4 linked regions of the Struthio camelus genome follow. The protein of the gene in region 3 purifies or fractionates together with the protein of the main gene of each other region. This does not show direct contact. Links are inferred from orthologs where the notes say so. Each region holds a gene or a part of one and is shown on either strand. Other genes may lie near its edges. The genes, in order: ZNF609, GSE1, HDAC1 and EHMT1.

Evidence for each region.
Region 1: the proteins of HDAC1 (region 3) and ZNF609 purify together in Homo sapiens (co-immunoprecipitation; 4 studies listed by BioGRID and IntAct, with this or other methods). This does not show direct contact. The link is inferred for Struthio camelus from reciprocal best matches to the Homo sapiens genes HDAC1 and ZNF609.
Region 2: the proteins of HDAC1 (region 3) and GSE1 purify together in Homo sapiens (co-immunoprecipitation; 7 studies listed by BioGRID and IntAct, counting the BioPlex papers as one, with this or other methods). This does not show direct contact. The link is inferred for Struthio camelus from reciprocal best matches to the Homo sapiens genes HDAC1 and GSE1.
Region 4: the proteins of HDAC1 (region 3) and EHMT1 purify together in Homo sapiens (affinity purification with mass spectrometry; 4 studies listed by BioGRID and IntAct, counting the BioPlex papers as one, with this or other methods). This does not show direct contact. The link is inferred for Struthio camelus from reciprocal best matches to the Homo sapiens genes HDAC1 and EHMT1.

What each region holds. Positions count from the first base shown.
Region 1 is NC_090953.1:25,567,933-25,575,510, forward strand, and holds the start of ZNF609 (zinc finger protein 609), read left to right. Parts: upstream 1-4,228; 5' UTR 4,229-4,351; intron 4,352-7,578. UniProt on the Homo sapiens protein: Transcription factor, which activates RAG1, and possibly RAG2, transcription. Through the regulation of RAG1/2 expression, may regulate thymocyte maturation.
Region 2 is NC_090951.1:3,438,913-3,446,710, forward strand, and holds the start of GSE1 (genetic suppressor element 1), read left to right. Parts: upstream 1-4,601; coding exon 4,602-6,551; intron 6,552-7,798.
Region 3 is NC_090964.1:8,597,915-8,605,666, reverse strand, and holds the start of HDAC1 (histone deacetylase 1), read right to left. Parts: upstream 3,464-7,752; 5' UTR 3,359-3,463; coding exon 3,310-3,358; intron 1-3,309. Other genes in the region: tyrosine-protein kinase Lck, read right to left, coding at 5,239-5,441, 5,767-5,898, 6,093-6,246, 6,338-6,414, 7,336-7,515. UniProt on the Homo sapiens protein: Histone deacetylase that catalyzes the deacetylation of lysine residues on the N-terminal part of the core histones (H2A, H2B, H3 and H4).
Region 4 is NC_090961.1:11,457,349-11,464,801, forward strand, and holds the start of EHMT1 (histone-lysine N-methyltransferase EHMT1), read right to left. Parts: upstream 3,053-7,453; 5' UTR 2,894-3,052; coding exon 2,831-2,893; intron 1-2,830. UniProt on the Homo sapiens protein: Histone methyltransferase that specifically mono- and dimethylates 'Lys-9' of histone H3 (H3K9me1 and H3K9me2, respectively) in euchromatin.

The sequences.
Region 1 (7,578 bases), on a different chromosome or scaffold from region 3:
CTGTCCCTGTCTCGACGTCTCCCCACCGCTGGGCAGGGGAGGCAGTGTGCTCGCTGCTTGCTGTTTTGTACCAAAATCCACGTGGGCTCGTGTTGGCTTCCTCTGGGGCTGCTTAAGCAGCCGTTTGAGTGCTGTCCTGGGATTTTCCCTCCCATAGCTTCCAGCTCTCGGGGGAATGGGAGAACTGAGGCACGAATCATGCAGGGCTGGGAGCTCCAGCGCTGGGGCGCCAGCAGCCGTGGGCGCGCTTGAGCCTGAGCGCAGCTCACAGGTATGTCTGAAGGCGCGTCGGTCAGCCAGTTTTTAATCCATTTAATGCACGTCATGTTGATTTGACGTATTCTAGTTTCTTAATCAAACTGTTAATGTTGTACCCGGTCAAAAGCGTGCTGAGCTCTGAGTGTGCGGAATCGGCGGTTTATCATCCAAACCTGTTGCCTTGTCAAAACACGCTGCCGGAGGGATTTGTTAAAATCATTTCCGAAGGAGCTGTATTGCCCAGCACAAGTTGTATTTTTCTTCTTTAATCCTACATTAATGACATCGTTTACAGTTTTGCCCAGGAACGAACAGACTGACGCACCTACACTTCCCTGGTTTGTTCTGCTTCCTCCTCTAAGTCCTGGCAGCCACAGTAAAGCTGGCTTTCCCACCCTTGGGAACATCATGGCCGGTCTAGGGCATATTGAAAATCAGCATCAAATGTCCTGGAAGCCTTTTAGCCAGGCCTTTAAAAAGGTCGGGGACCTGCCACCTGGCTCTCCATCCCTCCATCAGCCTCGCGGTCCTCCTTGCTTTTTACATTGCCCATCACCTTTCTACAGCTCCGCACGGCAAGGGAGATCCCTCTTGCTCTCCGCGTCTCCCTCCTCTGGCATTCGTCCTGCGGCCGCAGGAGGTAATTATCCGTCTGCTCCTTCGAAGTCTCCCTCTGAGCCACATCGGCCCTGGGGGATGGAGGCCTGCAGGTCCTTGCCCGCTCCTCCTGACCGTTCCTGTCCTCCTGATTGAAAGCTTTCTCCCAAGTGATTTTGCACGTAATTTGCTTCTAGCTTGGTGAAACTGGCCCTTCTGCGGCAGCTGTACCGCTGGCGGGAGATATACTGCAGCCGTGCCTCACCCCGCTGGCCCGTAACGAATGTAGCCGAGCCGCTCGGACATCCTTGCGTTAGGCTGTCCTGCTGGTGCATAAAACTCCCTCCTGCCGCTATGGCACTTTCTGAGTTTGGGATTGCCATAGGTAATGTTGGCAGCTGGTGGGATACCCTGCTCCGGCACGGGCCGTGGGGCCTCGGGGGCAGCGTTCCCCGCCAGGCTGTCCGTCCTGCCCCAGGACAGCCGGTCCCCCGGGGTAGCTCTTTCCCAGGTTTCTGCGATACACAAACATTGAATCTGTGCCGGCGCAGGAACGATTCCTCGTTTTCAGCGTGCTACGGGTGCGTCAGCCATTAACGAATTCCTTCTCTTTATCTCCTTTGGCGTCGTGATCAACTCTAGCGCTGACATCTTGGCCACGTGTTAAATGAATGTTTATGAATTCGTTCTTCTCACCCCTCCTTTTCCTACTGCTTTAAAATCCCTCTGGTCCCTTCTCACCTGCACCTGCCCCCCAAGGCAAAGAAATGGAGCAACGGCCCCCAAAACTGCACCTTTTTACCGCATCCCACTTACATAGCCAGCGCGTTGAGTCTCGCATCTTCCTTGCTTGGTTGCCAAAAAGCCTCTCAAGAAACCCGAGCTCACCTCGTTCAGTAACCTTCTGCAGCCAGCTGTGAGTGTGCACGGGGCACCATCAGGAGTGTTCACCTGCGCTACTGCTGGCTGATTTATGAGATCCTGCTTGCGAAACCTGTTTACGGTACCACGGCGGAGAGATGGCACCGTCCTGGGCTCTAACCCCTTCTTCCTCTGCTCAGGCCAGGAGCATGGACAGGGCACGTGGCTTCATGGGGATCTTCTTTATGGTGTATCTGAATGTCTCACAGGTCAGGCTGTGCAGGCCAGGCCCTTGCACCTCTCCTTTGACCACTTGAATATTAAGCCTCAGTGTTTTGTGGCTTCCAAGCTGAGAACATGACAATGATGGAAAACTCTCCCTGTAGAAAGGGGAGGAAAAAAAAGAAAAGAAAGCAGACGTTGCATGAATGAGCATCCAAAGCACACCGCAGTCGTGCCAGCGCGTTGTCCTTAGTTCTGCCCTCCTGTCCACGTGTGGCCGGTTGCAGCTGGGGATTACGGTGGTGTCCCTAAGCGCTACCTCCACGCTGGTGATGTACAACCACACTATGGCATCTAGCTGACCGGAGAGCACTCCTAGCCATGGAGCAGTGCTCCTCAGGCCACCTAACATCGCTGGCTACATCTCCTATCTAAGCTAACACACATGCTAACTAACCCCTCGAGAGATACCCCTGGACTGAAACCACCTGAGGGGCAGGTCCTGGGCCAGGAATGTCCCTGTGTCTGCCTGATGGTTGCAGTCCTGTGATTGCAGTGCAAAGACAAAGTCCTTGGCCATGCCATGCTCTGGGCCTGTTTGCACGCGCGGCCTGGTCCCTCCGCGGCCGCGGGGGCTCCCAAGTCCCGGCCTTCCGTTCCTTGCAGGTTTGGGTGATGCTTTCCGAGCGCAGAGACCCAACCTTGCTCTGGGGTGAGGATTTACAGGGCTGATCTCCAACGAGATTGTTCTGCCCAATTATACCATAAATAAAACTTCTTAATCCCAACAGGAGAGCTAACCCACAGCAGCGCGTTATCTTCAGAGCAACTTTATACCCAGGCGAGATTTATTGTGTTTCAAGAGCATCAGACTTGCATAAATTAGGCACTGCGCGGCTTACCCTGTCTGAAGGTTTCTGTGCCTCCTGCCCTGCTGTTTGGGTGATTTCTGCAGTGACTCTCAGCGGGGAAATGCTGCTGCACTCGAAGCGGAGTCTCTTTATGGCTGTACGGTTCTATTGTTGTATTCTTTTGGGCAAGCAACATGGCATTTCGGGCTGAGACCCTCTCCTTGCAAAACGCCACCGGCCAAACACTCCAGTACACATCTCAAAACACTCAAAACGCGCATCCTGGGGAGCACGTGGGCCTCGGGCAGATCCTAACGGGGCTGTGCCACCGGGGCGATGGCCAGAGAGGAGGAGCGCGGATGCGAAGGAAGAGAGGCGGATTTGTGGTGGTCCACGCCAGGACCATGCGGCAGGGCTGGGACAGCCCCGCTAGCATGAGCCCAACTCTCCTCCAGGACGGCACGGCTGCTTAGCCTGAGCCTGGACCCAACAGCCCGAGCTGGCGCGGGATGTTCCAGGGGGACTGCTGGCCGCCTGGCGCCGGGCTCTGGGGATGGGAATGGAGGGTGGAGAGGACATGCCACCCCCTGAGGAGGAAGAGGGGACAACCAAAGGGCCAGGGCTTGGGAGCGTTTTCAGGAAGGAGTCACCCAGGAGCCCCGCTCCCTCGGGGCGGCCCCGGCCGGCTCCCTAGGGCAACCGATCCACTTTCCGGGCTTTGCCCCCCACCCCGGGCAGGTCCTGGCGGCGCGGCGCCGTTGCCGGTCCCCCGGCCGCTCCGGCTCCGGCTCCGGCGCCGCTCTCCGCGTTTTGCCGCCGCCGTCGCGCCCCGGGCTTTGGCGCGCGCCCCCTTTGTGCGGCCGCGCCGCGCCCCCCCCGCACCGCACCGGGGCCGCCGCCGCCGCCGGATCCGGCCCGGCCCGTCTCGGCCCAGCCCGCCGCGCCTTTGTCTGCCGGCCCCTCCCGTCCCCTCCCCTCAGGTCATTTCCTCCCCGGCCAGGACCCCTCCACGTGCATATTCATGGCGGGGCGGGCTGGGGCGGGGCGCCGGGGCCCCGCGGGCAGCACGTGGCGCGGCGCCCGGTACCCCCGGCCCGGCGGCGCGCCCCGACCCGCGCCCGGCAGCCGCCGTGCCGCACCGGGCTCCGAGCCCCCGCCATGCGCGCCGCGCCGGCCCCGGCCCCCGGCCTGCCGCCGCCCCGCGCCGCGCCGGGTTTTCCGCCCTGCTGGCGGAGGGCGGCGCGCTCCGGGTTTTGGGCGCGCTCCGCGCTCCGGGTTTTCCGGCGCGCCCAGCGGCGGCTCCGGCTCCGGCTCGGGCTCCGCGCTCCGGGTGCGCCGCGTCCCCGCGGAGGCGAGGCGAGGCGAGGCGAGCCCGGAGCGCGGCGGCCGCGTCCCCCGCGAGGCGCACCCCGGCGCGGCCTGCGCGGAGCGCGGCCCAGCGGCGCGGCGCGGCGGCATGGCGGCCCCGGCGCCCGGCCCCTAGCTGGCGGCGGAGGCGGCGCTGCGAGCCGCGCGGCTCCATGGAGGAGACTTAGGGCAGCCCGGGACGGGAGCGGAGCCGGGTGAGTCTGAGCCCGGGCCGGCCCCGCCGCCGCCGCCGCCCCCCGGGCACCCGCCGCCTCTCGGGGGAGCCGCCCCGGCGGCGGGGGCCGGCGCCTTGCCCGCCCTCCTGCGGGCGGGGGCGCCGCTCGGCCGCGGCCGCGGGGGCGGGGGGCCCCCGCCTGCCGGGACAGCCCTGCGGGGCGGCCGGGGCCGGCGTGCCCCGCGCCCTTCTGCGGCCGTTGGGGCCGGGGCGCCCCCTCGTGCACCCCGCTGTGCGACCGCAGGGCTTGGGGGCCCCTCCGAGCCCCCCCCCGGGGTTAGGGGCAGCCTCTCTGCGACTGCTGGGAGCCGGGGGCCCTCCAGGGAGCCCCCCCTGGGCTTAAGGGCACCCCCTGTGCCACTGCTGGGGTCATCAGGGGACATCTCTGGCGTTTGGGGGCCCCCCCGTGTGATTGTTGGGTGCTGGGGGCCTCTGTGAGCCGCCCCTGGGGTTGAGGGACACCCCTCTGTGTGTCTCTTGGGGGTTGGGGTCCCCCGTGGGACACCCTTGGGGCTTAGGGAGACCCCCTGCCCGACTGTTGACAGTTGGGGGCCCCCACGGGACAGCCCTGGGGCTTAGGGACGCCCCCTGTGCGGCTGCTGGGAGTTGGGGGCCCCCGTGGGACGCCCCCTGTGCGGCTGCTGGGAGTTGGGGGCCCCCGTGGGACGCCCCTGGGGTTTGGATTCTCCGCTGTGACTGTTGGTGTTTGGGGGGGTCTTCTCACTTCCACTGTGGCTGTGGAGCCTGGGGACCCTCTGTGGCAGTTGGGCCTGGGGATCCCCCATGTTCTCCCCTGGAGGCTGTGTAAAAGGGGGATCCCCGAGCGGCCGCAGCACGCGTGGCCGGGGGTGTGCGTGTGTGGGGGGCTCCTGCCACGTCTCTGTGTGGATGGAGGTTGTCGCCTGGCGCGTGGGAGGTCACGGTCCCCTCCCGGTGGGGGCGCGTGGGCTTTCGCAGCCCCCTGGCGTGGCTCCCCTGTGTTGGCGGGGGGTAGGGATCCCCCGCGTTTGAGGGCTCAGAGCCTGGCCCCCCGCGTGAGCAGACCTTGGGGCTGCCCCCCGTGCCGGCGGTGGCCAGGCAGGGTTCGGGAAGGAGGCGTTGAGGGTCAGCGTGAGGGACGGGGCGTCCAGCCAGAGCGTGCGGGGTGCCGCACGTGCCGAGATGGGGAAGGTATAGGGCCAAAACGCCTGAGCTAGCGCCCTTATGTCCTGTCCTGGGGAGGTGGCACGTTGCTGAGGTTTGGGGATGTGGTTACCCGAGCCTGGGAGTGTGCCGCTTGGTCAGGAGCTCCCGCGCTTGGCGAGCGAGTCCTTGCTCCAGCCCTGACTCTCAGGTCCTCCTGGATGCACTTCTGCGCCTCAGGCACGGGTCTGTTTGCCTTGCGCAGGCAGGCTGTAAAGGACTTGGGGAGCCGGAGGAGCGCCTGGTGGGCGGCAGTGCTACCGCGCCATGCCTTTCCTCTGTTTGCAGTGCAGGTCTGAGCACAGCTTTCTGAAGAGACTGATTTCCTTCTCCCCCTTTGGGCCTGCCGAGGAGGAAGAACATCTGACCTGGGCGTACATGTGACACAGGCGGCAGCCCAGAGCAGTTTCGGGTTCCCAGCGCTGGGCGTGCGGGGGGGGGTGGTGGTGGGAGGACGCAGCCCCTTTAGGGGATTTTCTCAGCACAAATCACAGAGGATTAAACTCTCGTAAGAACATCTACCCAAACACAAGTTGTCTCTGTTGAGGGGGGGAAAAAAAATCCTGTCTGTGAGTGCAGTTCCTTGTGGATGCTGGAGGCGCTGGTGCGCGGAGGTCAGAGTCCTAGGCGAGCACTTGAGCTCTCCTTAACTGCCCTTAATTAGGGGCACTTTGGAGTGGGCCTGTTGGGCCTCTGTTGTGACGGCGAGACTGTTGATGAAGCAGAAATAGCTATCCTTGGAGCCTGCTTGGGAGGATGTGTTAGGCTGCCAGGACGGCTCGTGGATGCGAAAGGGGCAGGGGAATGCCGCGGGAGCGCCGCCGAGCAGCCGGAAGGTGTGTTTGACTGCAGTTGTATCCCCCTTGCGCACAGGAGTGGGGCAGGGCCCCGGGGTAGCCTGGCCCCCGGCCAGGGGAAGTGTTGAGATTGGACTGTAACTCGTGCAAGGCTTATCTCGGCAGCTCCCTGCTCCCGAGTGTGGCTTCTTCTCAGTCCTCGGCTGCAACAGGAAAGGCGAGCCTCTCCGGATGACACTAGTTTGGGCTGAAGTAAGTAACAAAGTGGCTGTGCTGGTAACGCGTCCAATAAATGCTCTGGTTTTATCTGAGTGAAACGGAGGGGTGAGAACTGCTGCTCCGGAGATAAAGCGGCTCTCTCTCCAGCCCATTGTGTACACAGGGAAGGTCACAGGTTCAAGTCTTGTCTGTGCGACTTGGCTCTCTTCCATCTCCCAGCAGGCCCTTTTTTTTTTCTTCCCCCTATTCTGGGTGGACCCTTTCCATTGGATGAGGTGTTATACAGATAGATTTTTTTTCTTTTTTTCTCTTTTCTTTTTTTTCTTTTTTTTTCTTTTTTTGGTGACGCACAATGAAGAGCTCATGGGCCCGTTTTTCCCTCCAGAAGAATAAGGATGCTGATGTCGGGGCTGACTTTCATACTCCAGCACAGCCTGTCTTCGTTCATCATGCCTTGCGAGAAGGGTGGAAGCGATGCTTGTGCTCGCAGCCTCTCTCGTCTGGACATCCTCAGGAAAACCTATTTCCCTGCTTTGTGTGATGACTCTGGCATAGGATTATGCTGCACATTTCTAGCTCTTTGTTGGCAGTACGTAGCCACGCACAGCACTCAAAAAAAATCCAGTCAGCTTTTTTATTGATTAGCTTTTTGAACAGAATAATTTATAATTTATTATTTTGAAGCCATTTTGGTCCTGAAACAAAAATCTTTGTCCTTTTATACCCTCTGTAATCCACCAACAGTGTCTCTGCTCCCTACATATCTGTGGGGTAGAGCTTGCTGAAGAAGACATGTACAAAACTGGGAGTTTGGCTGTCTCTGTGGTGCAAAAGGACAAGTATGTAATGTTTTATCTAAACTGGCCTTGCCGTTCAGGACAAGGGCTCTGAGCCAGTTAGAGCCACCAGAGGACATTAATCATCAAGCAAGTTGTAATGATCTGTAATTGAGTATGGCCAGGACACTGGGATTGTTTCGAGTTGGGCTCTCAGACTTCATTTGCACTGA
Region 2 (7,798 bases), on a different chromosome or scaffold from region 3:
TTGCGTGGGCTGGTGCGCGCGTGAAATGCTCTTGTTTTCCAGTGAAAGCTTTCCCTCTGTTTTTTTGTTCTCTAAATTTCTTCTGTTTTTGGCAGGGGGAACTCCATCGTGCACCCCTCTCTGTGTGTGTGTTTTTTTTTTTTGGGGGGGGGATGAGAAAACGCTGACAAAGAGGAGAAAAGCTGTCTGGGCTTTTCCAGGAGAATGGTTGAAAAAAACTTTAATTAAAAAACTCATTTGAGACCCTCCAAAAATTGTCAGCCAAAGGATACGTTCTGAACGTTGCCATGAACCAGCCCTATCTTTCCCATCTGAAAAACAAGCACAAAACGAGTGCATAGATCAGCCTTTAAAAAAAAAAAAAAAAAAAAAGCACAGCTTGCAGAGAAAAATACAGCTGTTTCGCACTGAGTTCAAGGTCGCCGAACTGCAGGCCAGTCCCCGCGGTCCCGGCGCTGCCAGCCTCGTGCCGGGCAGGGGACGGGGCGGCGCTCGGGCCGCCGGCCCGTGCCTCGCTTTCGGGGGGCGAGAGGATAACCCGCCGCGGCCGTGCAATTGCTTCCTGTGCCGCGCCGACTTGGGGTTTGGGGCCCGGCCACGCGACCCCCCTGGCAGAGCTTCCCCGGCCCGCGAGCGGGTTTGGCAGCAAATCATTTCACATAGCGGAGCAGCAAAATGCTGGGGGGGGGGGTGCGCGGCGAGCATGCAGGCTCGCAGCCCCCCAGCCAGCGCCGCTCGAGCAGGCGTGAGCTGAGAAACGGGCTCTGTCCCCGGTGCCCCTCGCACGGTCCGACCCCCAGCTGCTGGGGACAGATTTCCGGGTGGGATTTGCAGGAAAAGGCCAGACGCCAGCGACGGGCGGCAGAGCAGGGCACTGGGGGGGAGCCGGCCGCGCGCAGGGCTGTTCCCGGTGGAGCTCTCCCTCCGGCAGCATCGCTCCGGGGAGCCGCGGGGACGCAGGGCGGCGGGAGCCCGCGCGCACCTAGGGGCGCCTGCTCTGCCTGCCCAGCTAATGCACGGCTGGGAGCTGACTCCTCGGAGAAACATTCCCTTTTCGAGCAGCAGACCCCGGGGAGGATTATCCCGAGGGGGTGGCTGGGGGAACAGTCACGCTGTCTCGAAGGCACTGTGTTGTTTGAAATGCTCTTTAAGGCACTTGATGACTCACAGCAACAGCTGGAAAGAATAAGCAGTTGGTAATTTCCATATTAACCTCCCGAGCCTGGAGATGGGGGATCTGCAGCATGTGCCCATTTGCCAGAGTGCAGCGCTGGTGAGGACTGCTGTGTGTGGATGGGACCAGGACTGGGTCCGGGTCTGGGTCTGGGTCTGGGTCCGGGTCCGGGTCCCGGTCCCCAGCTGGGGCTCTGGACTGATGCAATGCCGAGGAGCGCTGTGGGGCTGGGGCTGGCGCTGGGTCTAGCGCAGCCGGGCAGGGTGCGGGAGGCCGTTCGTGCAGCGCCTTGCACAACAGGCTCTGGGCTCGCAGCCCTGATGCAATCGGGTCACGTGGAGGCTCTCCCCTGCCCTCCGAGGGACGCCGGCGGGGTTCGCCGTTGCGCGACGGGTGTTTGGTGCCTGCATTGCAAACCGGAAAGGAGGTTTCAGGTGGGACGGCCAAGGCCGCCTGCCTCCGTTGCAGCGGTTTCGCCCCTGCAGCCGTCCAGCCCGGGGGCGCTCGGTGGAGCGGACCTCGCCGCCGTCCCCAGCCCCCCCAGCTCGCTTTAACGCACCAGTCTGGCGCAGAGGGAGCCGCGGCAGAAAATCCTGCGCTAGGCTCGCCCGGCTCGCCGCGCGCCCCCGGGGGACGCCTTCGCCGCCACGGCATATGTTTTCAGTTCTTGCCGAGGCCGACTTGAGAAACGCGCTCTCCCTCCCAGCCTCTCCGTTGCAAACGACGACCGCAGGGCCGAGGCGGCGCAGAATGATAAATGAGCCGCTCTGTGCAAGCGCAGCCGCGGCCCGGGAAGCCGCCCGGAGGCAGGCTGCGTGCCGGCGGGGAGCAGGGGCCGGCGGCGGTGGGGGGCGAGCCCAGCGGCGGGCCGGCGTTGGGGGCCGGGTGGGGAGGTGGGCTCCAGCGCTGCTGCGTGAACGGGCCGTGCCGCTTCCTCGCCCATCTGCGGAGCAGGCGGGAGAGCATCTGCCGGCCTCTCCGCGAGGGTCTGCTCCAGGCTGGGATGCTCGCGGGGTGCAACCGTGCAGGCTTCGGCTGGCTTCTTCCTGCAGGGACCCCAGCCTCACGCAGCACGGCCTCATCCTGCCGTGACGCACAGCCGGGCCGTGCTGCGGCGGAGGGCAGGGTGATCCCTCGCCTCTCCTTGTTCCCCGAGCCGAGCCGGGGCTTGTGACGGCGGCGGGGAAATCCCAGCCTGTACAGATAGGGCCGGTTCCTTTCTTGCCCTCGCCCTGCTGCCTAATTCTGCTCTTCTGGGAGGGAAAAAAAAAAATCTCGGATTACCACTGTGGTGCATCAAATAGGACTGGAAGGAAACAAGCTGCGTTCCTGGCCGCGACGCGTCCAGGGAAAGGGGCAGCGCCGAGAGGCTCTGAAGCGCTGCCATATGCACCTTTAGAGAACATGTGAGTCATGTCCACTCCAACACGCTCCCAACGCCCTCCGTGCATAGAGCAGCTACAACATCAGGCCTATAAATAAATAAAATACAACGAGGCCCTGCTGTCTTCTGGAAAACCCTGCAAAAGTCCCAGCTCGCCCAAGGTATCGTGTTCTCCGCTTTGTGCGTCTCCCCCCCCTCCCTACCCCCCCCTTTTCTGTCCTGCTGGAGCCATCTGCGTGGAAACTGGATCTCCAGCCCCGGAGAGTCCTTCTGCCCCCTGCTCGCGCTCCAGCTGATGTCACGCAATCTGCTTGATCTCATGGCCAGTTGCTGGGCAGCGCGTTACGCTGTCACCGGCAGCCGAGGACGGAGGTGACATCAAGGGCTGGCTGAGCCCCGCAGGGCCGAGCTGGTGGAGGTCTCGGTCCGGCCGCAGCGCAGTGACACGGTTGACGCGGCCTCACGCGGCGTCTCTGCGCTCGGCCCGGTGTGCCGATGCACGGCTCACGTGTTCGGAGCTCGGTCCCGTAACGCTCACCCCAGCTGAGGGGCCTCTCGCAGCCCCTCTCTCCCTGTGTCCTATCACAATTATTGACTTTGCCTCCTACTTGGCCCTTACATACTTTGGGTTTGATCCTGGAAGGTCCTCAGCACCCTTCAGTGAGACAGGCACATGCTCAGTGCTTTACAAGAACAGGACCGGGCGGGGGTTGGAGCGAACCATGAACTCAAAAATACCATCAGGAGCAGGCTTCCTCCTAAAACGACTGCTTGAAAATATCCTTATGGCTGATAATACCTATTTTTTATTGGGAGACCTCTGCTGAGCCTGTGGGTATGCTGACTGGATGCTTGGGTGGTTAATAAGCCAGGTTTAATTGTGGCTGGACCTCAGCACAGTTTGCACTTCCGCGGTGCCGATTGTCCAAGGACAGCAAAGTGCTTTACAAGCATTAAATCTTATCATAGGCTGCAAGGCAGGTAAGGCTATACAGGGATTATTGCATGCATCGCTGAAATGCGGCCAGCCCTGGCTGGGAACAGATCAGCTATTTACCAGTGAGTGGCAAACCGATGCAGCATTTTAGGACCAAGCGGGAAATAGAATCTGGTATTGAACTGGAACAGCAGCAGGACTTTTAAATGTGAAATAAATCACCGGGGCTGGTATTCGGTCAGGACACTGAGTTAATGTCTGGTGCGCAGCACTGTAAAGGACAGAGACATTATTGGTGTCTTCTGCAAAGCGCCACAGGATCCCTGCTGACCGCGCAGTCCCGGACGCTGCCAGCTGCAGTTGCCTTTTTGTGCTGGTTCAGGGGCAGGGGGTTTGCAAGGGGATGTGCGTGAGGGAGGTCACCCGCCGTGCGTGGGTAGCCCCGCTCGGGGGGCGGGGGGGCTTTGCCAATGCCCCTCGCGGGGTCGGTCTGTCCCCAAGTTCCCCTCGCGGGGTCGGGGGTAAATTCCCCTCGTGGGGTCGGTTGGCACAATCCCCCGCCGCCGTGGGGCCGGTTTGCACAATGCACTCCCCTTCCCACCCCCCTCGCTCCGTGGGGCCGGTCTGTCCCCCCCCCGCCCCCCCCCCACGCTGTGCGCTCCCCTCCCGCCGAGGCTGCCGGAGCCTGGCGGCCGCCTAACCGCAACTGCGGCTCCGTCCCGGCCGGCCGCCTCCCCCCGGGCAGGCGAGCCCGGCGCGGGGGGGGGCCGGGGCCGGGGAGGAGCCGGGCCGGGGGCGCCGGGGCCGCCCGCCGGCGGGGCCAGCGCGGGGCGGCGGCGGCTGCTCGCCTGCTTGCCTGCTCGCTCCGCGCCCGCCGCCGGACCCAAACTTTCTCGCAGCGAACTTTTTCTCTCTCTCTCTATTTTTTTTTTTTCCTTTCTCTCTCTTTTTTTTTTTTCCCTTTTCCTCCGCGGAGGAGCGGGAGGCGGGCGGGGGCGGGCGCGGCGGGGCGGAGAGGCGGGGGGGGGGGGGAGAGAAGCAGCGTTGCAAACCCGCCCCCCGAGCCTGCGTGTCCGGCGGAGCCGCGGGATGAGCCGGGGGCGGCGATGAGCGCGGCGGGGCCGGGGGCGGCGGCGGCGGCGCCGCTCTCCCGCAAGCAGCGGCTGATGGCCGCGCTGGCGGCCGGCGAGGGCGGCGCGGCGGCGGCGGGCGGCCCCGGGGCACCGCAGCCCCCGGCGCCGCCGCTCTGCTGCTTCATCTGCGGCGGCGGCATCAGCCGCGGCAAGGAGCTCAAGCTGCAAGTGCGGCCCCCCCGCGACCACCGGCCCTTCTTCCCCTTCCTGCAGCACCAGGAGCCGGCGCCCGGCGCCCGCGCCGTCTCGGCGGAGGGTTGCGCCCTGGTCTGCGCCGTCTGCCGCTGCTTCCTCGGCGAGCAGTGGGACTCCTTCGAGCGGAGCCGCACGCCCGTGGAGAAGCGCATGTACTGGCTCAAGCGGCCCCACCAGTGCGAGGCGGCGGCGGCGGCGGGGGGGGGCGCCGGGCTGCGGCGGGGGGCGCCGGGCTGGGACCCCGCCGCCGCGCCGCGCCGCGCCGCCGGGGACGGCGAGGAGGAGGAGGAGGGCGAGGAGGAGGAGGAGGAGGAGGAAGAGCCGGCGGCGGGCTCCGAGCTCTCCGAGCTGTCCGACGCCGAGCCGCTGTCGGAGCCCGAGGGGGCGGGCGGCGCGGCGCGGCCCCCCCCGCCACCGCCGCCGCCGCCGCCACCGGGCAAGCGGGGGCTGCCGTGCTGCTCCTCCGAGGACAGCGAGATCAACATCACCAGCGAGGAGGAGGAGGAGGAAGGCGAGCGGCCCGCTTGGGCCGCGCCGGCGGCGGGCACCGTCTGCTACATCTGCGGCAGCCCCCTGTCGCCCGCCTCGCAGCACCGGGTCCACGTGCAGAAGCAGGAGAAGACGTCGCAGGCGCCCTTCTTCCCCTTCCTCTGGCTGCACAGCCCCCCGCCGGGCGCCCAGCCCCTGTCCCCCGCCGGCAGCACCCTGGTGTGCCCCTGCTGCTTCGCCTCCCTCATGCAGCAGTGGCAAAGCTTCGAGCTGGCCAACGTGCCCGTGCTCCAGCGGCTCTACGTGGTGCCCCTCAACGGCGGTGCCGCAGGCATGCCCCCCAAGGGCAGGCGAGGGCTCAAGGAGGACGGGGCAGGCCCAGCCCCGGCGCCCGAGGCCTGCTACCTCTGCGGGGAGGAGTGCGGCAAAGAGGCGAGGCTGGTGGCCGCCAAGATCACCAACGGGAATGCCAAGAGCACCATGCATTTCCCCTTCCTCAGCCTCCTGCCTTGCCCGCCCAGCGCCAAGGGGCTGAACAAGCACTGGGAGGTGAGCAGCTGCCGGAAGTGCTACGGCGTCTTGCAGGACCTGTGGGCCATGTACAGGGCCTGCCACAACGAGGAGCTCATCACCTCGGTGCAGAGCTTCCTGGGGAGGTACCACCAGGTCTTCTCCGCCGGTGACCCCAGCGGCCTGCCCGGGCACCCCGTCATCAAGCCTGGCCCTACATCGGTCTGCTACATCTGCGGGGCCGAGCTGGGAGCCGGCAAGGAGTTCCAGCTCAACGTCAACCCGCCGGGGCGCTTTGGCGAGAAGGAGCCCTTTTTCCCCTTCCTCACGGTCTACCCGCCCGCCCCTCGGGCCAGGCCGGCGGACTCCACGGGGCTCGTGGCCACCTGCGTGCTCTGCTACCACGACCTGCTCGGGCAGTGGCTGCAGCACGAGGGCAGGAATTCCCACCACCCCAGCAGCGCCTGGTCCCGGCAGTACAAAGTGGAGACGTTCGTCTGCTTCTTCTGCCGCCAGGAGAAGAAGCGATGCCTTGGATTAAAAGCGGTGCAAGTTGCCAGGCTCCCTGTGTTCCTCTACACGCTCCGCGTGGCCAACAGCTTGCTGGTGGATGACGGGAAGCAGCTGACCATCGGCGCGTGTGCCGAGTGCGGAGCCGTGGTCCTGGCTGGCAAGACCATGACGCCCCCAGAGCTTCTGGCAGCAGCGCCCCCGGCTCTTCTCCCCAAGGTAAGGCGTTTGGCCCGGGCCCCTTCCCTCTCCTCCCGTCGTTTCCCGGACATGATGATTTTGGCATCAAGTACAATTTAGAGCGGTGCTACAGATGGATGCTCATCTTTTGAGTCGGATCCCTGGGGGCGAATGTTAATAAATGGGGTGCTGTTAGCAAGGAACTTCTGGAGCCATCAAACCGAAAAGGAGTGGAGAGAAATCCTTCCAAGAGGCTCAAGAGAGCCAAGATCTGTCCTGTTGCAAAAACACGTATCTGTATTACTGGCGCCAGCTCTTTTAGAGCCCTGGATAAAGGAGGTGGGGTTGTTTGTGATTCGAGGTGGCCAGAATGGGAAATCCTGATCTTGTACCTCTCTCAATCGTGGATAATAATAGTTGCCAGAGCAGGGGGAAGTCTGACAGGCCCCTGTGCCCTGCCAGCAGCGCTGGCCGGCCTGCCCGCGGCAGACGGGATCCTCGGGAAATTCCTCCGGCCAAAGGAGCGCGGCGCCTCCGCCGTGGAGGAAAGTTCCCAAGTTATCTTTGGTTTTATAAGGCGCCCGAGCGAAACGGTTTCCTTTAGGAGAAACTCGAGTCCTTCCTGCAGCTGGGAAGCTGGTGTGCGGGCTCCCTGAGCCGCTCCGGGCTGCCGTTGTGCGGCTGCGGGAGGGGAGCCCGGGGCAGCTTCCCGCGGCGCCGCCGAGCCTGCCTGAGCCTCTGCTCATCCGAAGCCAGCGATGAGATGTGTCCTCTGGATGCAGGGCTGGGGACCCAGGGACACGGGCTCTCGATTGCTCCGTGCTCCTTATCTGTAGGAGAGAGTAGTTCCTCCTGCCTCCTTCAAGTTGATCCGTATGTTCGAAAAAGCAGAATTTAAAGCGGACAGGTTTAATTTCCTTCAGTTCTATGTGGATGGTCTTGTCCAGACTCAGTGGTCAGTTCAGTGTCACCCGGTCGCGTCTGATTTATGTTACGGGTTATTCTTTGCTGCGCATCCCGGTGCGGACAAGCCCTGAGCTGGGTTACATGGCATGCTTCGAGGCGGGTATGTGGAAAGTCGTACAAAAGAGCAAAGAAAATTTACTCACAGCAAGTTTGTCTTTCTCATGAAACGGGGAAATTACTGCTTTTGTCCCCAGATTTCCGACTGGCAGCGGCGCAGCTCTTGGAGAGCGGATGCTCTGTATCTGCAAAGCAGGCCCCGGACTGGGCTTCATAAAATAGCAGCCTCCAAAATCCCTAAGCTCGCTTTCAAAGTCTTTCGA
Region 3 (7,752 bases):
AGAACGGCCTCCCAGCTGCCCAGGGACCTTCCTTTTAGGAATTACTGCATTCGATTATTCCACCCTTTACCTCCCTGCATAAGAAAGAGATCATCGCAAGCCGGCCTCCTCCAACTGCAGATTATGCCTTCCTTGCACACTCTCAGCCTAGGACGCACAGTGGATGCTTGCCAGCCCCTCATAAAAGACCAGTGGAAACAAGGTACTAAAACTTTACCGCAGAGTAAATTAGTGAGGTCAGCTATAGACAAGAGTGTCTAATGCTAACCCCACATCGTTACCATGTAATAAAGACTGCAAGGATATCATCTCTTAGCATTTTAAGGCACGATGACTAGTTATTCTGTGTTTAAAACACCATCTTGCAACTCTAAAGGTTTTAGCTTGTTCACAAACTGACAAGTTTTCTTGGAGAAAACATTATATTCTAAGGACAAGGAGCAGTTTGGACATACAGTTTTCTTTCAACGCCCTGGCCACTTGCGCATGTACAGTATTCTGATACTTCCTGCAACTATTCTTCAAGTTTAAAGTCGGCATTTTAGGGCCCGCGGCACCAGTACCCCACTGTATTTTGATCTGCTGGGTATTGCATAGAGATCAGTTGTACGCAGCACTGGGAATGAAAAGGACGGTCCAGAAAAATCAGGCTCACTGTTTCACTGCACCGAGAGTCCTAATTCAGACTCTTCCTCGTCACACTCCCCTGGAGACTCTGGCTGAGTCAGAGACCTGGTGCAGCTATCATTACAGGTTAAAAATCTATCACTCAGATTTGCTTTTCTGAAAAAGCAAATGCCCTCGCTATATGCCCGACATATAAAGCAGTTTAAGCGAGCTCACTTTATGGCCTTAACGAACACTGAGCACATCCACTTACCACAGAAAAAAACCATGGAGAAGTAGTTTTTATTTGACTTCAGAGACTAAAAACCATGATGAAATAGAGGAGACTTGCACAATACCTTTCACATAGAGTGATCACAGACTACAGTAAAACTCAGCTCACCCACTACCGAAACACCAGTTCCCCCCTCCAAAGGGGGGGGGCAGTTGCGAACGTGCACAGAGACAAGGCAGCTGTGAACGTGCACAGACTCCCTCTGCTAAAGGAGAGGCAGCTGTGAACATGCACAGAGACAACGCAACTGTGATTTCTTTCACAGACTATAGGGGAAGAGTGAGGAAGCTACACAAGTTACCTTGGCTGAGATCTGGCCAGCTCTTATACCCTATTACTTTGCTACCCCAAATATATAGCCAAAAAGCAGTGTTTCCCTATCCTTGTAAAAGGAAAACAAAGCAAAGCAAAAACACAGTCTACAATCCAGCCAAGTTTAGAGCCAGAATTAAACAATACTCCTAGACACAGGAACTCCCTAGAAATAGCCATGCAATTGGTCTGGTTGCCAATGTCTTCATTTTTGTCCCTTGCTTGATAGTGATCCAAATGGAGCTTCAGGAGCGTCTGTTCTGCTTACCATGGCTCACGGAGGCTCTTAACCCTTTCCTCCCCCCCCCAGCATCTCCCTGAGTGCTCCCCATCCCCCCATAAACCTTCCTCAGTATCTTGGCATAGCTCCCAGAGCCTCTCTCAGCCCCTTGCCCTTCTCCCCCATCTTGGCCCCTTCAGAGCCTTTCCTATTTCCACCCCACCTCCAAGTTTTCCATTCCTCCCCAAGTTATTCCACCAACCTCCTCCAACTTTCCACCAGTGCTGCTCCCTATCTTTCCCTTGCCCCATATCCTTCCCTTCCACCCTCCAGTGTTTCCCCATATCCCTCTCATGAACCCCACTCCCTTGGAGGCTCCCTACTGCTCCCTACCCCCCTGCCATGCACCCTACATCCCTTGCAGGCTCCCCAGCACTCCCTACACCCCTGCCACGCTTTCCACATCCTTCCTGTGACCCTCAGTCTTCCCCAACCCTTCTCCTGCCTTCCACTCTCCCCTGCGCCTCCCCTCACTGCAGTTCCCCATACATCCTACCCCGATCCATGCCTTAACCCCTGCGCCCCATCCCCTAGTGAAGTCCCCATCCCTTATATGTCTCTCAGTGTCCCCCACCACCCCACCCACGCCCCAGTGCAGCCTCCAGCTCCCTAAGTCCCCCCATTATCCATCCCCCTAGTACAACTCCCAGCCCCCCATGTCCCCACTACCCATTCTCCACAACCCTCATGCCTCCATTACCCATCTCTCTATTCCCCACTGCAGCCCCCAGGGCTACCATTACCCATCCCCCACTGCAGTCTCCTATGCCCCACCTCCCCCAGGGCCCCCATTACCCATCCCCCACTGCAGCTCCCAGCCCCCCACGGCCCCCAGGGGCCCCATTACTCATCCCCCACTGCAGTCCCCTATGCCCCACCTCCCCCAGGGCCCCCATTACCCATCCCCCACTGCAACTCCCAGCCCCCCACGGCCCCCCACAGCCCCCATTACCCATCCCCCACTGCAGCCCCCAGGCCCCTACGACCCCCCACAGCCCCCATTGCCCATCCCCCACTGCAGCTCCCAGCCCCCCACGGCCCCCAGGGGCCCCATTACCCATCCCCCACTGCAGCCCCCAGGCCCCTACGACCCCCCACAGCCCCCATTGCCCATCCCCCACTGCAGCTCCCAGCCCCCCACGGCCCCCCACAGCCCCCATTACCCATCCCCCACTGCAGCTCCCAGCCCCCCACGGCCCCCAGGGGCCCCATTACTCATCCCCCACTGCAGTCCCCTATGCCCCACCTCCCCCAGGGCCCCCATTACCCATCCCCCACTGCAACTCCCAGCCCCCCACGGCCCCCCACAGCCCCCATTACCCATCCCCCACTGCAGCCCCCAGGCCCCTACGACCCCCCACAGCCCCCATTGCCCATCCCCCACTGCAGCTCCCAGCCCCCCACGGCCCCCCACAGCCCCCATTACCCATCCCCCACTGCAACTCCCAGCCCCCCACGGCCCCCCACAGCCCCCATTACCCATCCCCCACTGCAGCCCCCAGGCCCCCACAGCCCCCATTACCCATCCCCCACTGCAACTCCCAGCCCCCCACGGCCCCCCACAGCTCCCATTACCCATCCCCCACTGCAGCCCCCAGGCCCCCACGGCCTCCATTGCCCATCCCCCACTGCAGCCCCCAGGTCCCCCATTCTCCCCAATTCAGCCCCCCAAGTCCCCAGTACCCCATTACCCCCTCCCCCGCGCCACCTCCCCTCCCCCCCCCCCGACGGCCCGTCAGGCTTCCGCCCGCCGCCGCCCCCCCCCGGCGCGGCGCTGCCCCGCAGCGGCCCCCGGAGGCGCCCCGCAGCCCCTCACCGTCGTAGTAATAACAGACTTTCCGCTTGGTCCCCTGCGTGAGCGCCATTTTCCTGCCTCCCGACAGCGACAGACCCTACCGCCGCGCAACCGAACCCGCCCCGGGGCCAGTCGCCCCACCGCCTCCCCGTGCCCCCGCCCCCGCTGGGCAGCCCGCCAATCGGGGAGGGGCTTCCTGCCCCCTATCTCCAGCCGACCAATAGAAAGTCCCGGCGGCGAGTGAGAGCGGGCGCGGGGGAGCTAGCAGGCTAGGTCGAGCGCCAGGGTGCTTGGATCGTACCATTGCCGGCGGAGGCGAGGCCGAGTGGGGGGGGACGGGATAGGACTGTACCATCACCGGAGAGTGGGGGGGAGATCGTCGTCAGGCTAACGGGGAGGGGGATCCAGGTGGGTGGGGCGGAACCATTCGCGAGGAGGGGGAGCGCCAGGTGGGACTGGACCATTCCTAGGGCGGAGGGGGGGGGCGTCGGGGGCCAGGCCTCAGGCAGGGCCTGCCTGGGGCGGGAGTGAGGGGGCCAGAGAGGGCCAAAGGGGGCTGGTGGGGGGCATGAGGGAGCCAAAGGGGGCCAAAGAGGGCTGGGAGGACATGAAGGGGCCAGAGAGGGCCAAAGGGGGCTGAGGGGGGTGTGAGGAGGCCAAAGGGGATAGGGATGGCACAAGTAGGGCCTCACGTCCCCCCCCAGCACCCCAGGGCTGGGGGTGAGACAAGCAGCGCGAGGTGCCGGTCCCCGAGGGTCCCCTGCGCCCACCTCCCCCCCGGCCATCCTCCGCTGGCCTCCCTCTCCCCGCAGCTGCCTCCAGGGGCAGGAGCCAGCTGTGGTTCAAAGGCCTTTATTTCCCCAAAATAAGACAGCAGTAGGATTTTTAGTCTTGCGATTAAAAACGTGGGGAGAAAGGGGATCCTACAGCCAGCGTCTGGTCCGTCCGGATGGCCCTTTCCTAAACGGGGAGAGTTTCTGCTGGAAGTGCCTTCGATGGAAGCACGCGGAGTCCCCGGGGCTGCAGGAACCGGGAAACCTTCCCGGCTCCGGCCCTCGCCTCCGTGCAGCTCCCCCTGCCCCTCTCCGGCCCTCCGGGGTCTGGATCCCTGCTCTCTGCTCCGTCCACTGCTCCCTCCTCCTGCTAGACCAAATCCAGAGGAGTTGGGGACCGGGTGCATGCAGGGTGCCTGCCAGGGCGCAGCCATGCAGCAGAAAGGCTTGGAGGGACCCCGGCTCCGGCAGACGAGGTTTCACCTCTGCGGCATCGCCCCAGGGAGCCCGGCTGCTTGGAGGGGCCGCGGGGAGGGCAGGGGTGCCGTGTCCCCAAATGCCTGGCAGAGCCGTGCGAACCCCTTCGGCGCGGGTATGCTGCCGACCGCCGCCGCTGCGCACAAGCACTGCCCGGAGGGCTCCGGCGTGGGGCCGGGACGGCTACGGGGCTCTCCGGGACAGCCGCCCGCACGGCGGCTCCTGCAGCTGCAATGGGGACCTGCCTTCAGCCTTGGGGTAAACGCGGAGGCGAGGTCCGGGGCGGTGGATGTGAAAGTGCACAGCGTATTTTCCGCGCCTGCCCGGGCCGGGGGCAGCTCGGCTCGCAGGCAGCCTCGGGAGGAGCCGCGCGGTGCCGGGTGGAGGTTGCATCGGCACCGGGGCGAGTGCGGGGACCGTGTCGCGGGCACGGGGGTGCGCGGCGGCCGGAGTCCCGCACGCGCTCTGCTCGAGCCGCCCAGCCCGGCGGTCCTCGCCTCTGCCGCCTGCCTGGAGGAGTCGTGTGTCAGCTTGTCCCTCTTCTTCTGGGGGGAAAAAAATCCGCTGCTCCAGAAACGCATCAAGTCTTTACTGTTGCCTGCGAGAGCGGTGAGGTCCGGCCCGTGTTTGCAAATGCCCGGGGTGATGCGTGGGGACCCAGCGGACGGGGAGCACCCGCGGAGGCCGCTGCGCGGGTCCCTCACGGCTGCTGCTGGTACTGGCCCTCGGTGGCCGTGAAGAAGTCCTCCAGCACGCTCTTCATGTACTCGAAGGTGGGCCGGTCCTCGGGCCGCTCCTTCCAGCACTGCCTCATCAGTTCGTACAGCTCCTGCGGGCAGTTGTCCGGCTGCGGCATGCGGTAGCCGCGCTCCAGGTTCTGTATCACCTCCGGGTTCGTCATCCCTGGGAGGGCAGCGCGTGTGCCACTGGATTTGGGTCGCCCCAGCACGTCCCAGGCGGCACCTTATATTTGCAAATCCCAGGGAAAGCTTCCTCCCCCCCCCCCCCAAAACCGTGTCTGAACCCCCCGATGTCTTTGGGGCTGGCAACGTGCGTTGGAAAGAGGTCAAAACCGTCGCGGGCTGGCGAGGGGAAGGGGAGCGAGCCAGACGGGGCGGCGCGGGAGCGAGCGTGCGTGCGTGCGGCAGTGCATGTACACGCCGGGCGCGCGCGTGCGCCCCAGCCCCAGCCCCGCTGCGGAGTGCCGCAGCTGCCGGGAAATCCTGACCTGGATACGGGATCCGGCCGTAGGTGATGATCTCCGTCAGCAGGATGCCGAAGGACCAGACGTCCGACTTAATAGTGAACGTCCCGTAATTAATAGCCTCCGGCGCCGTCCACTTAATGGGGAATTTAGCCCCTGAGACAGAGAGGGGAGGAGAAAACGTTACGGCTGAGCTGGGAACAGCCCCCCTGCGCAGCCAGGGGTGACGGCCCCCGGCCCGTTCCCGCGCTCGCCGCCAGATAGGGCTGCGATCCCGCCGAAAGCGGGGCTGGGCGGCAGGCGGGTGCCGCCGCCGCCGCGGCCCGGGGGCTCTGCCGCGGCCGACGCACCCTCGCGAGCCGTGTACTCGTTGTCCTCGATGAGGCGGGCCAGCCCGAAGTCGGCGATTTTGCAGCACAGGGTCTCCGAGACGAGGATGTTGGCGGCCCGCAGGTCGCGGTGGATGTAGTTCTTGGCCTCGATGAAGGCCATGCCTTCGGCGATCTGCGGTGCGCAGCAATCGCGAGGGGTTCAGGTCGGCAGCCGGAGCGGGGCAGCTCCCAGCCCAGCCCCGGCGGCGCCGTCCCCCCCTCACCTGCGCGGCCATGTCCAGCAGTTTGTTGATGGTCAGCTTGACTCCTTCCGAGGTCTTGAGGAAATCCACCAGGCTGCCTGCAACGAAGCCGGCAGGTCTCAGCGGCAGCCTCGCCGGCAGCCGCTGGGGCTGCGCGCCGGGGTGAAGGTGCCAGCAGCCGCGCCGTCCCCGCGCCGTGCGGCGTGGTCCCCCGCCGCCGCGGAGCCTGGCGCTGGGAACGCCCCGTGCCCGGGGAGCGAGGAGCTGCGGCCGTCCCGCAGCCCGGGGGTCCTTGCTGCGATGCAGGGCTGGGGACGGGCCGGATGGCCCCGGGCTGGCAGCCTCCGGCTCGAGACCCTTTGTCACAGCCGCGCACGGCAGATCCGGCGCGTTTCCTCCGGGAGGACTGCCAGCTCCCGGAGGACGCCCTGGACCCGGCGAGGAGCCTGTCCTTGCCCTCGGGCCCTGGCCTCGGCCGCACCACTGCTGGGAAGCTCGCAGCGCCCGGAAAGGCAGGCGGGGAGCGGCGGGGACGGGAGAGCGCCGCGTCCGCAAGGTCCTGCCCGCTGCCAGGAATAACGCCGGCGCCGGATCCGCTCCCGGCGGGCCGGAGGGCCGTGCTCCGTTGGCCGGGCTTTTATCAGCGCGAGGAGGCGAAAGGCGGCCCCGGCCGCAGCAGCCACCGCGGGCAGGCGCGAGCGGGGAGCCGGGCTGGGGCTTCCCGCTCTGCGCTCGCTGGGGACAGGGATGGGACAGGGAAGCGCCCCGGCACCTCCCAAACCCTGGCCACCTCCCGGCGCGTGCCCACCGCCCCGTCCCTGCGGGGAGCGGGCAGGGACGCACCCCATCCCGCCGGCCCCGGGGGACGCGGCGGCCAGAGCCCGAGCGAACCGCCACGGCACGCTTCCTCGCTGGCCACGGGGCTCGGCACGGCGCAGACACCCCCGGCGCCCCCGCCTCACCCGTTTGCACAGCACCGTGCCGGGCAGCAGCCGGCGGCTCCTGCACCCCCCCCCCACCTTTCTCCATGTACTCGGTGATGATGTAGATGGGCTCCTTCGTCACCACCGCGTAGAGCCGCACCAGCCGCGAGTGCTGCAGGTTCTTCATGAGGTTGGCCTCCGCCAGGAAGGCGCTGGGCGACATGCTGCCCTGCTTCAGGCTTTTGACGGCCACCTTGGTGTGGCCGTTGTAGAAGCCTGCGGAGAGAGGGGGCGGCGCGTGACGGGGGCAGAGGGACCCCCGCGGCGGGGCAGGGCCGGGAGGGGCCGGGCGCCAGCACGGGGCTCCCAGGCGGTAATCACGGGTGGGCGCCTGCCTGTCCAGCTGGAGCATCCCAGCTCGGGGATTCGGGTTTCGAGCCCGAAACCGCTCGAGCGAGAGATGCTGGGAATCGCAAAGGGCGGCTATGTCCCGTCATCCCAGAGATGATGGAG
Region 4 (7,453 bases), on a different chromosome or scaffold from region 3:
CTGAAGAGCAGCTAATGCACACTGCCAGAGCCCCAAGTCTTTAGCCTGAATCGAAAGGCAAGATAATTCCCTCAGTCCAGGTGGTCAGAAGTCTCTGCAGTGATTCCTTGACCTCTCTAAGATCCAGGAACAGGAAAAGGAGAAAGAATATTTTAAGGAAGGGGGAAAAAAAAAAAAAGAGAGAGAGACGAGCAACAACAACAAAAAAAGCACCAGGAATCAAATCATCCCTCCCCCAAACATCCACACCAGCTGGCCATGATAGCGAAGCTCCTTAAATGTCCTTGTTTACCTGAATGAAATAGTTCCCTGCCATTGTACAAAAAAAAAAGCACATGATCCTTTTTCACTAGGAGATGGCACCACACGGGAGAGGTCACACTGGCATTGGCACTCCTGCGGCATACCAGCGTAACGAGATACACTTTCAAACGCCGGGAGAAGGAGGAAAAGTACTAACACTGCAAGGCAGCCACGGCCCCAGCGCTGCCGCTCGGCCGGACACCCGGATGCAAAACGGGATCTCGCGCGGCGGGCCCGATCCGGCGCCGTGACAGCCCAGCCTCCTCGTTACTAGGCCGGGGAGCCAGCAGACGGCTTGTTTTTATAAGCTGGGGGCCTCATTAGCAGCAATAACCACCGCTCACATGCCTAGCTGCAAGCCAGCATGAGCTGCAATGGCCAGCGCTTCTGTTAACAGGGGGCCCGGGCGATTTTTAAAGCCCGTGAGGGGTCCTAAAACATGTCCCACACACCAGCAACCTCCCTCTGTCATGAACAAGACACAACAGCGAGGTACACGGCTCTGAGGGGCCGTTCGCTAGCCCATCGTTTGCTTGGGAAGAGGAAGAATAGCTTTTGAAGGGAAGTACAACAGCATTGCTTTTTTTCACACGCGACTGCCAAGGACAGGCGACGAAAGCGTCTGCCTGGGCTAGTAAATACTCACAATTATTTTCACTGGCTGGCTGAAGCTGTTTAGCACTGGAGTTAAAGTAACATAAAAGTCAGTTTAGTACGCGAAGGAAAAAAAATAAGACCCAAAAGCCCACATTTAGGACTATTAACCCCTGCTGAAAAGCAACATGGAATTTCAAACCTTACGCTTGCCTCTTCCCTCCAAAAAGTAGGTCAGGCGTTTCAGCATCATTTTGCCAACGCTCTCGGAAGGAATTTCAGGCAGCAATAAGTGACTATGTAGTGTTTTAGGCAGGCTATCACACAAGCCTCATCATGGTCACCATATTACGTACATGCACTTGTTAGCACCCCTAAGTGTTGCCTCAGCATTTTAGGGGGTTGCTTGTTTGCTTAGCCTTCAGCAAACCCCACACACATTTTTTCCTGGATAGGAGCTCATCCAGTAATATTTCAAGGCCTCTGCTCTTCACTTTTAAAAAATAAACTACTTCATCTCCTTATGACTTCTTTTGATGTTATTTGCCTTTAATATGCATTTACTAGATGACAAATAATTAGCGTATCTATAGTCTCCTGCAGACATGACAGATATTTAGATTAGATATCACAGACCGTCCTGTAAGCTCTCTAGCCCTTTAAAGGCTATCTTCACATTTCACTGGTCATTTAAAAATTTAATACGTAGGTACATATGGAAGTTTTAAGGGCCTTCCTCAAACCCAGCAAGCGACAGGGTTTGGGGCCAGTGTTTTGCAGGCTGGCAGAGGGTGCCAGGATCACCCCCAGCTCTGGGAACCTGCAATCCTTAAGAGACAACAGCGGAGGTCAAGAACAGGGTGTATGCTCCAAGTCAGACCGGTCGCTGTAGCAGGCAACACAGCTGTGTGTGCATATAACACAAACAACTTAAAAAACAAAACAAAAAACAAAACAAAAAACACATGGCAGGGCCAGGGGTATGAATTTTAGGCAACCTTTTAAACAAACTGCTGACATGGGCCTTCTGCCATGAAATCAACCACGGACGTTTCATTTTAATCAGCTGCTCTCTTGGATTGCAGGCTACTTAGAAAATAAATAAATAAAGCCCCCATCAAACAAACAAACAAACGGCCAAAAAATCAAAACCACCACCCCCCCCAAAAAGATCCTTTCTTCCTGATGAAATCATGCTCGCTCTTCCTTCCACCCTAAAAACTAAACTGTAGGCTTGCTTGACATAACCGAAGGCTGTCAAAATTGTTTCTAGCAAGCAAGTGAAATGTGTCCACAGGCCCTCTCCTTCCCTTTGAAAGTTCAAGTCTTCAAACAGTTTAAAGACCCCAGGGTTTTCTCTTCTTGCTTATAAGAAACGGAAGCAGGGAGGGCTCCTGGTAGACCCAAATATTCAAAAGACTTCATGCTTTAAAAAAAAAAAAAAAAGGTAAAAAAATAAAAAATCCAGACAAACCTCCACACCCTCCCCAACACAGAAGACAAATAAAAGACTGACTTAATGCGTGGAAATAAGCCTAAACTTCCCCAGAGACAGGTAATTTCAGATTCAGAACTATATACAAGTCCATTGAGCAAAACAAAGTAACACTAATAGCAACACAAAAGATCAGAAGTCAAAGTCTGAAAAGCAACTGCGCCTGTCCAGGTTATTCTGTAAATCGCTTCTTCAAAAGACGCCCCAGCACACTACCCTGCATGCTGCATCAATATGCAATACCCACATTTCTGCTGTGCTGTTCTCTCTTGCATAGGGCAAAAAATAAATAAAAAAATCCAGCCATGATTATCTGAACTGTCTTCCTCCTCTCAGAGGTTTCTCCTTTCCTACCTGACAACAGTCTGTCTGCGGCCACAACCTGAGGGAATCTGCTATTTATGACATATGGAACATGGACACTACAAGTTACTGTACCTGCAGACATCTGTGGTCTTCTTTTGATGAAGACTCAAAGAGTTGCATATTCCAGATCCTCATGAACAGTGATTCAGTTTCTGCTCATGTGATAAAAGCTCCCTCTACAGAGTGAGCATGCCCAGTGGAGACCATTTCACTGTTCACTCCAAGCTGCAGCCATTTCACAGAGAACCTGCAGGCTTAAGGGCTTCCATTGGAGCAACTATTATCTAAGGCATCGCAGGGATACTCGGTCCTCCTGGTGCAACGCACAGTTAATAAAGATAATCTGTCAACGGTCTGACCTAGTGCCAGGCCTAAAACTGATCAGTAGCCTGCAAAAGCCTTTTAAAACCATGTAATAATGTGTTCTGTTTCAGTGGCCTCCAAGAGTAGCCCTTGCCTACAAAAAAAAAGAAAAGGGGAAAGAAAAAGAGAGAGATGCTGCACAATAGCATCGAAGTTTGAGGACACCCCTGCACTAATTATATTTTGCTTAATAAAGCGCCCGACCTTTGAATAGTGGGATAAAAGCATACGGGTTAAACTGGTTAAGTGTACAGTGTCCAACTGAAAGTGAATTTGAGATCCGATATGCTGAGCTGAAGGGGTGCTATTTTTCACTTCAGGGACTTAAAGTATAACATGACCTGGTATAACCAACCTTAAAAGCATATCACAAATACAATTATTAAAAAGAAAAAAAAAAAGAACTGATAGTACACTACTAGGTGCAGTAGCTCTCAGCTCAGCCTATGTCAAACCATATGATACAGCTGGCCCAGCCAGCAAGAGCAAAGAAGAAATTTTAGCTTCAAAATAAAAGTAGTTTGTCTCTGTTCAATTTGACAATTAAGCACAAACTCTTGGCAACCTTCATATCTGCTAAAGCTCCCAGTAAAACTGCCTGAGCAACTTGCAGGAACATCTGTAAGCAGAGATCAGCTGGAACGGATTCAAATGCACAAATGACATTTATCACAATGCAAAAGTCCGAGGGTTTCTCCGTGTTTAATATTTCTCTGGAGAACCTCCCCCAGGAGAAGGGGGAGGGGAGCAGAGAACAGAGGAGAAGAGAAGAGGGAAGAAGGAAGAGGAAATCTGAAATGGGCTGTAGTCCCACCCGCCTGTTCTTGACCAAAGCAAAAAACAATTTTCCATAAAATAGGAGTGGGGAAGACAATTCTCCTGAAGCTGAAACGTTAAAACGAACACTGGCTCCGTGTGTTGCCTCACAATGGACCGAGAGGAGAAGGAGGAGGGGGAGGGAAAAGGAACAGCCTGCGCCGTTGGGGGGGGGGGAACCCAGAAAAATCCATAGTGAGGTTTTGAGGAGCCCAATGATTTTATTTGCCTTACACGTTGCACGAAAGCAGGCACTCAAAATTCAAGGCTTCAGCACAAGTATGAAGCCTTCTCTCTACCCATCCCCTCCTCTCCTTTACTAAAGCACCGCAAGAGCGTGCCACGCTGTCACATTATCACACACCAGAAACGCCAACAAGCCACGTTTCCTACAGACCAAGTATTTATTTCACCACCACGTCGATGCACGTTTGCAAAGTGGCAATAGTTAAAAGAGCAAAAGAACCGTCCATGGGGCTGCCTCCGCTAAAACGACATTGTTTGCCTCTAAACGCTTTGGAGGAGTTTCACTATTAAACAGTTAAAACACACAAGGCTGAATTGACATGACTAAAATTCATAAAGGATGAATATCCAAGGTGACAGAATAAAGCCAGGATCTCTCTGCCACCCACTGGTTTTTTTGCTTGATGTCAATCTAAGTAATAATATAGATAACGAGATTTTTTTTGGCCTTTGCATCAATCACCAAAAGTTGTAGAGGTAACTCATTTAAGACAAAGCCAAAAAGCCCAAAATGAAAACAACAAAACCTGACTACATTGGCAGAAGTTGTATCATCCACTGTATCACTGTGGCTCAAACCAAAGAGGGCTTTAAACCAGCTGAAGTGTTACCCGCCTTGGGCAGCATGAAGTTACTAAACTTTCACTAAAAGTACAGAAACAAAGATACTAACAAACGCTGAGTCACTGAACTCATGTGGTCCACGCCCATTTTCAGACCGAGATATAATGATGATCCAAACCCACGCCACGGGGTTCACTCATAAATGCAGCATGTCAACCCTGGAAAAATGCTTTTACTGGTGAGGGTGAAAATACACTGCGAGCAGAAGCTGCTAGAGACGTTTTTCATCTTGGAAAGCACTAAACACTGGTTAAAAAGAAAAAAAAAAAAGGCAGGATATCGTGGATGCCTCCACAATCAACTCGAGCAAAGCGATTGATCAGCGCCCTACAGGAGCTCCGCACAGCGACGCTCTGGAGGAGCGGAGGCTGCTTGTGTGCTATTACTGAGGAAAAACAGCCGAGCTCTTAAATTTATGGCATCCAAAAAGAAACAGAAGCTTCCAGACAGCCTCTGCAGCATTACACATGCTGCCCACGGCATCGCGCCGCCACTCAGCGGCCGTGTCCTGAAGCGGCCCCACCACGTGCCTGGGGTGGCCAAGGCCCCCCCCCACCACCACCACCCCGCGCCCGAGGCCGGCCTCACCAGCTCCCACCTCCCCACTGGGCCTCCTCCAGGCCCAGCACGGGGCAGCCCGCACTGCTGGGCTCCCTCTGCCACCCAGGGCCCAGGGAGGCTGTGCCAGGGCCGCCATTTCCTCGCCGCCCTGCAGCCATTTTGTGGAGGCCGGGCACTGCGGGGGCAGGGGCGCAGGACGCGAGAAGGAGCCCTCCCTCTTCTGCCCCTGCCTCCCGCACGTGCACCGGCAGCGCGAAGCCGCAAGCGGAGGGATTAGGAGGGTTGAACGATCTAACTGCTCTGGGACTTCACCTACACAGCACCAAGCTGAACTGATTCCCCGCTCCGGGAAAGTGAAATCCTTCTCCAAAATGGCTGAGGTGGATTTTCTTTCCTTCGCAGTTGAGTAAAATTACAACGGGCCTCTACCTCATGAAGGTTTTATTTAACTCTCTAGCAATCTCACCATCGAATCGTCTCTGCTGCGGACTGTCTGGCAGTCGCCTTTTTTTTTTTTTTTTAAAAAAAAAAAAGTGTTCTACCGGGGCCCATAAAACTACAGGATAATTTTAAGCTCTGGGCTCTCTGGCCTCAGTTCCATGATTCGAGGCTTGAACAGCCTTTTAAAAATCTCACTTTTTATTTAAAGAGGAAGACAGCAGAACAACAACCTTCCTTCACAAAGGACACGGGGCTCCTAAGGGCTTTTGCTTAATTACACCATTACACATGTCATTTTCACAGCTCCCTCCTCACAGAGAGGCAAAGTGGGAGGGAAGGGGAGATCTGTCTTCTATAGGAAGAACAGTATTTAGCTCTCCAAAATACAGGACTTTTCTCTGATTTCCGTCAAGCTCTCGCTTCAGCCCGTACAGTCGCGCCAAGCCGAGGCTCCCTGTCAAGGCTCCTCTGAAGCGCTCACAACAGCACGACAGGCCAGGCCGGGCCGTCGCAGGTAAAGCGGCTTCCAGCACAAACACGAGCGCTTCTGCCGGAAAGCCGGTTCGCTTTGCCATCGCTAAGAGCTACTCCTCAGCTCGGCTGCAGGCTCTCAGAACGCCTCCTTCCCTTCTCAAAGATGACTCTGAACGCATCCTAAGCCGAACACCCAGTCCTGGGATACTCTGAGCGTCCTCCGCCTCCTCCTCCGAGAGAGGGCGAGCCGAAACGTCCGCTTCGCCCCTCACAGGCTCAGGTAACAGTTCTGAAGGAGCGGTCAGTCATGGACGCGCGCTTCTGGAATTACAGCTTTCTTCACCTTTTGAAACCTCCTTTTTTCTCTCCAAAGTTTTCAAGCCACTTCCCTCCCTCCCCCCGTTTCCTCAGCAAAGCTTAAAACTGCTTTTAGTGAATAGGAAACATAAAATGTTCCCGGGGACACTGTGTTGAGTACATCACAAATACACACATACACACATACACACACACACACACACACACACACAAACCCCAAAACCAAAAAAACTGATGCTGTTGTGACAGATGTTGAGATGTAAGCTCTCTGGAAGATGTTGCCATGTTTTGATAAGAATGCATGTTGAGTATTTCATTTACAGGGCAATCCTAGAACTTTATTTAGAGTCATATTGGACAGACAGCTGTAATTCAGAGCATACTGTATTCCTAACAGTTCCCAATTATAAACTCCTTCAGCTTTAACTTAGAGTAACCACGGCTCTTTCTATTTTGGAAAGCTAAAAACGCCATTTCTCCCCTTCATTCAGCTACCATATATTAAGAGCTTCTACCATACACTTACAGCCTGACTTGAGAAGGGCACTAAACACATCACGTGCATACCCCATCTTCGAAAACAGGGATGAAGCTTATTGCTTTAACCACACTAGCAATTTGCTCCACACACAAATGTTTTATTGCTTTATTCTGGAATGGTCGATGGGGTGGGAATCGGCAGCATTTCAGCGCGTCACGCAAAGCCTTTAGACTGCTTTTTAGTAGTCTTCTGCCAGGAAAGCAGGCAGTAAAAATGGCTGCTTACATGCTGTCTCACTTCTGCTGCAACACTTCACCGAAACACTGGAGACCATTTCAGCTTCTGCCTACGAATCTCACGTGTTCCAACGT